Linked DNA regions of Kluyveromyces lactis. The protein of the gene in region 2 interacts with the protein of the main gene of each other region in a pairwise test. Links are inferred from orthologs where the notes say so. Each region holds a gene or a part of one and is shown on either strand. Other genes may lie near its edges.

Region 1 (2,727 bases), about 1.0 Mb from region 2:
AAGATTTTAGTCGATAATGGTTTCAACTATTCCGGTAAGGACATGCTTTATTCTGGTATTACTGGTGAATGTTTACAAGCTTACATTTTCTTTGGTCCAATCTACTATCAAAAGTTGAAGCATATGGTTCTTGACAAAATGCACGCAAGAGCCAGAGGTCCAAGGGCAGTGTTAACGCGTCAACCAACAGAAGGTAGATCTAGAGATGGTGGTCTAAGATTGGGTGAAATGGAACGTGACTGTGTTATCGCATACGGTGCTTCACAACTATTGTTGGAAAGATTAATGTTAAGTTCTGATGCCTTTGAAGTCGATGTTTGTGAAAAATGTGGTTTGATGGGTTATAGTGGATGGTGTACAAGCTGTAAAACCGCTGAACATGTTGTCAAAATGACTATTCCTTATGCAGCCAAACTTTTATTCCAGGAATTGCTTGCGATGAACATTGCACCAAGATTGAAATTAGGCGATGTCTTTGAAGCTTGACTGTAAGCATTTTCTGACGATTCTAGTAGTAACATTATTTATTCAGTATTACTTATAAAGCATCATTTTCACTTGAATTTTCATTATTGATTAGTATATACCATATCATAGTCAACTTTTAGTTTAGCCGCTAGCTCCTGCAAAGTCATTTCATCATTATCTTCTTTCCTTAGTTCATTCTCAAATTTCTGGAGTTCGTTCTGTTTCATTTCTTCTGCTTCTCTCACTTTCTCATCCATCCGTTCCCTGATTTCTTCCTTTTCTTCAATTGGCAAATGAAAGAAGTCCGGAGATTCCAAGATCTCTTCCATTTGTTGTTGAATGCCGTCATCGTATTGATACTCAACTTGGCGCTTTCTTGCCTCTATTTCTTTCCGCTTATACTCTTGATAACCGCCCATTCGATCAATTTTAACCAATATGGTATTCAACATGTAAGACATCCCACATTGACATATAGACCTCCATTTATTTATTAATTCGATAGTCTTGAGTTCGTTGTCGTAAGTTTGCATTATTTTCACTGCCCTTTTCAAAGCAAACTCTTTCTTCGTAAGATCTCGTATTTGTCGATCAAGATCGTTCTCTAACCTCCGGATCTCCTTTAAAAGTAACACACTACCCGTAGATCTTTCTTCAGGGTTTCTGCAAGATAACTTGGGCAAGATATCACTAAATGAATCATTCTCTTGAACTAAGGTTGTTTCACTATCACCTTCAAAATTCATGACATTCGACATAACGCCTGTAATGAGTACTGGTATAAGAATTATTCCACTTGGTCAAGTTATGCCTACCGCAGATTGTACTCCCGAGCTTTGTATTCTGAATGTAATGTTGAGTATACATGTTTAAAATAATTTACATAATGTAATTTCTATTTTCATGAAATTTACCGCCGATGTCTTTGACAAGGAGGCAATCCAATATAAGATGGTCGAAGACATAGGATTACCAATGAATTTAAAATTGAAGAAAGTTTGAACTTATCATACAATCATTTGATTATTCATCTGCTTCAGATTCAGCATCATCCATTACTATGTCTTGGGCTCCGTCAGAAATATTTTCTTCTTCTTCATCATCGTCAGATTCCAAGGATTCTCTTAAGAGTCTGGCCTTTTCTTCCTTAACCTCATTTTGGATAGCAACCCAGGAACCAAGAGGAGTATCTTTCCACGATATTTCATTTAAGAATTTTTCTACTTCTGTTCTGTTGTTTGGTCCGAAGTCTACATCTGATCTCTTCTTTGTAATGAATTGAGCGTTTTGGTTGATTTTATCTACCACGTTTTGCAACATCTTGTTAAACTTTACATTCTCAGAATTCTTGATATAACGACGTAATGAGATAACGGCAAGCGTTGTTAATTCTGGGAATGAAACGCTTCTGGAGTATAGAACAAAGTACTCACCTAGCAAATCTACAAATTGCTCAGCTAGCCCGTCTTGGTATATTTTTGTCCCCAAGTATGCTTGTGTACACTTGATGTTATGATCAAAGTCAAATGCAGGTAACGTTGACTTTCTAGGTTTCTTTGTGAATGCAGTAGAGGAGAGAATCTCAGATAATAATGGGTAAACTGGAATGAAGATACCAGTGTTTTGAGATAATCTGATCAAGGATCTGATCAAATAAAATCTCAATGGGAAAAATTGTGCTGTTGGAATCAATCTAATGACACCAATGGTAACTTGGACTAGTGGGTAAATCAATTGTCTAAGAGGGGATTCGTGGCCGTTTTCCTTTTCTGGGTTACATTGGATGGATATAACACGAGACCAGAAGTCCAAAGAGTGACAGAACTGCCAGTTATATACAATCTTGTAAGCACTTGATGGGTCCACCTTTGAGGACCTCTTAGTTGTGGCATTGATACTGTTTCTCAAGTGAATGGCTAGTTGTCTGATATATTCGAAACCCGATTGATAACTTATAACGTCATCAATACCGAAAAGTTCAGCAGCAGAGTTCTTTTGGAAATTGATTAGAGGCATGTTTCTGATGTTAGTTTTACGACAACTTTTAATGAAAGTAGAATACGTGGACTTCAATACAACTTCTAATAAAGCTTTCTTATATTCACGAGAGGCATTGTTCAAAAACGCGAATGTGGCAATTTGAGTTTCAACGTCTCCAGTAGTGGACCAAACTTCGACGACTTGAGAAATTAATTCTTTTAGTAATCTTCTAAATGAAATAAAGTATGGTAATAGCTCATAGGTAGAATGCAAAATCAT
Region 2 (3,318 bases):
TGCACTTACTTAACAATGAGTGCTATGGCAAGTGAACCAGACGATAAATTTTGCAATCCATTAGTTCGTACAAGTAACACCAGAAAGTTCAGTACCGTTCTAGGTGCACTGTTCACTTTTATCGCAATCGCATATACGACAACCAGAGCTGCAGCAAACAACGCACTAAGAGGTAGTAGCGGAGCGATTTCTTTATACGATGATGATGTTGAATACTCCGGGATAGGAGAGACACGTAATCAACTGAGGTTGCAAGCGATCAAACAAGCAGTTGAGGAGGGTGCTTTGCCCCAATCCGCCTTGCTTGATTATGAAGCTGAGCAGCAAAGAATGCATGTCAATGATTCTGGTAGGGAAGATGGTGATGATGATGAATTCAATGTAACAAAATACAATTACTCGTTGTTTCATTTCATTTTCTTTTTAGCTACGCAATGGATTGTGATCCTATTGACTATAAATGTTACACAAGATGATGTTGGAGATTTTATTCCTGTTGGCAGGACATACTTTTATTCATGGGTTAAAATCATAAGTGCTTGGATTTGTTATGGTTTATACGGCTGGACCTTATTCGCACCCATTGTCATGCCAGAAAGATTTGAATATGACTATTAGAAAACACCTATCGAAGTGGTAAGGGAAATGGATGTGTGTCACTTGTTTATAGAGTTGTACTATTCTGTTCGTAAAAACGTTCTATCGATAGAAAGTATGTCTTTCTTACGAGCCACCCATAGTGGCTTATTCATCAGAATCCATTATTCCACGCTCACCAATGACATAAACGCACTCCTTTTCCGGCATATCAGGCGAATCTTGTAATTTCGCGACCCTTTCGTCACCTCTACCTTTTCTCAATAATATTCTTGTCGCACTTGCATGGGCTAAGACATGTCCTCCGACAGGTTTCCTACCATCGGCACTAGCAAACAAGGCAGAAGCACCGGGATCACTTTGAACTTGGTTGGTCATGAAAACTGCGATATTGTTCTCCTCAGCGATACGATTCAATCTAGAAAGATGTTGGTTTAGTTTTTGCTGACGCTCGTTCAATTCCCCACGGCCTGAATAATCAACTCTGAAATTGGCCATAATTGAGTCTACTATTAATAGTCTATATTCTCCTGAAGAGAGTTCCTCGCCAAGCTGTTCAAGTAACTCCATCTGATGCTCACTATTGAGTGCCCTGGCGTACGAGATATTTTCAAGGCACACTTCGGGATCCAAATCATACCCTTGTGCTATCTGCTTGATTCTTTCTGGTCTGAAAGTACCCTCTGTATCAATATATGCAACCTTACCCTCAGGTCCATTTAGTTCTTTTGGTAATTGAGCTGTCACGCATAACGTATGGGATAATTGAGTCTTACCGCACCTAAACTCCCCAAACACCTCAGTTATGGACATTGTCATTATTCCTCCTCCTAGTACAGAATCGAATTGTTTCGACCCGGTAGAGATAGACATAACTGCTTGACGAATCTGCCATTGCAGAGTTGCTGGAATAAAGCCAATGGTGATGATTTTATTGGCAGCTTCTTTAATCTTTTCTACCTTCACTTCCGATAACCCTCTAACTTTACACAAATTCCTTCTGGTCGTCGACAAACAAGTGTTAACGGTAAATATACCAGCAGTCTTCAATTTAGTTATATCAGACGCGTTAATTCCGAAGTTTTGTAACTCATCAATATTGACCACATTGGTTTTAGTTTCTGTCTCTGTAGACATGACAGCTTAAATAGAAATGGAATGGGACGTTTCAAGTAGAATGAAATGCAAAGTTATTGGTTTTTAGGATCACCTTCTCGCTCCTAGTTATGTGCACTAGATATCTCGCTATGTCATATTCATTGGTAGTTGGGTTTGTTGATTTGGTTTCTGACTCCAAATCCTTTTTATACTAAAATCTAATTAGCCGCCATCATTTTGAACGTTTTGATAATCCTTCCGAAGCAAACACACTAATAGTAGAAGAACTAATGACAAAGTTGAGAGCTTGAGTTCTATTATGATTTTGCTAGTGTACAGATCTACAAGATACTTAGAAGTTGCTATTTATACATTGTTTTTGTTGCAATTGGTTGGTAAGAATAAAGACTCATAAGAACAAGACTCTTGGGCTACCGAAATCAAACGAGTATTGAATATAATATGAACTGGTGTATCAATGTAGAGTTATTGTGTGCAGATGCGAAAAGGGTGTTTGTGTATGAAATAGAATTTGTTATCTGTTGAAGTAGTTCTATCAAAGAAGGTAGTTAATACTGGTAATGAATAAATTAGAATTTCATTTTCCATGGTTGAGTTTCTCTGATCTTCAAACCAAATCTCTTATCCTCGGACAATTGAGCCAGTTTGAATATACCTGCAACGATATTGCTTGCAGTATCCATAGAGTAAACAGAATGAACCCAGTTAGATTTTAGGTTTCCGCTGATTCTTAGCAACTCTTCATCACAGATGGCTACAGTGACACATTGACGGACCACAGGAACTGGCGTAGAGTGTTTTTTTAGCAAGGATTTCAACTGTAGGTTGGACAAACCTAGTTTAGGTAGAGGAAGCTCGAAACCTGGGTATAAACCTTTATTCTTTGCCATGGCGTCATAACTTGACACACCGGATGGGTTTGTTAGATCCAAGATCTTAGCCCAAGGAACGTGTTTTACGATGGTGACATCTCTGTCGATTGTTAGGTAGTTGTTAGAAATTTCAGAAAGACCTAATCTGAATGGCTTGATTTCTTGCTTGATGGTTTCGAAATCAGGCTCCTGTACGTCCAATGGGAAAGAATCAGCGATATGAGCTAATTTGGTAGGGTATACACCTTGTTTATCCAATCTGGTCAACACTTGTCTAGCAGCTCTTAACTTTAGAACATGGCTCTTTGAAAAATCACGGCAGATGGCACCTGGTCTAGCCACCACATCAGAGGATTCAGATTTACCGGAGAATTGATCGACAGTGTGTAAAGTGATCAAACCTGGCTCCAATCCTTGCAATGGAGCCAACTTCAAATCGATCATGTAAACTTCACCCTTGACAACGGTAAAATCATCTGTTGGGACCACGGTATCTTCGGTGATAAATGGGTTCTTACGCTTGACATCAACAGCAGTTTCATTGACGGTTCTAGCAAGCATAGCAGCTTCCTGATGAGACTCAGTCCAAATGACACCTTTGAAGTCTCTTTCGACAATGATATTTTCGTTTTGACCAGAAAGGAATCTTTTGATTCTTCTGATACGAGAACCAGGCACAACGCAACAATTATAAGATTGAGCAATGGTGTCAACTACGGTCCTAATCAAG

What was found.
Region 1: the proteins of DMC1 (region 2) and MEI5 interact in binary tests that used the Saccharomyces cerevisiae proteins (3 or more experiments, as listed by UniProt). The link is inferred for Kluyveromyces lactis from reciprocal best matches to the Saccharomyces cerevisiae genes DMC1 and MEI5.

What each region holds. Positions count from the first base shown.
Region 1 is NC_006042.1:101,274-104,000, forward strand, and holds MEI5 (Mei5p), read right to left. Parts: upstream 1,227-2,727; coding exon 570-1,226; downstream 1-569. Other genes in the region: DNA-directed RNA polymerase III core subunit RET1, read left to right, coding at 1-486; mRNA-binding ribosome synthesis protein NOC2, read right to left, coding at 1,492-2,727. UniProt on the Saccharomyces cerevisiae protein: Involved in meiotic DNA-break repair. Required for the recruitment of DCM1 to meiosis recombination hot spots.
Region 2 is NC_006042.1:1,096,421-1,099,738, forward strand, and holds DMC1 (recombinase DMC1), read right to left. Parts: upstream 1,735-3,318; coding exon 745-1,734; downstream 1-744. Other genes in the region: TMS1 (Tms1p), read left to right, coding at 1-618; ARX1 (putative hydrolase), read right to left, coding at 2,286-3,318. UniProt on the Saccharomyces cerevisiae protein: Required for meiotic recombination, synaptonemal complex formation and cell cycle progression. Recruited to meiosis recombination hotspots by MEI5 and SAE3.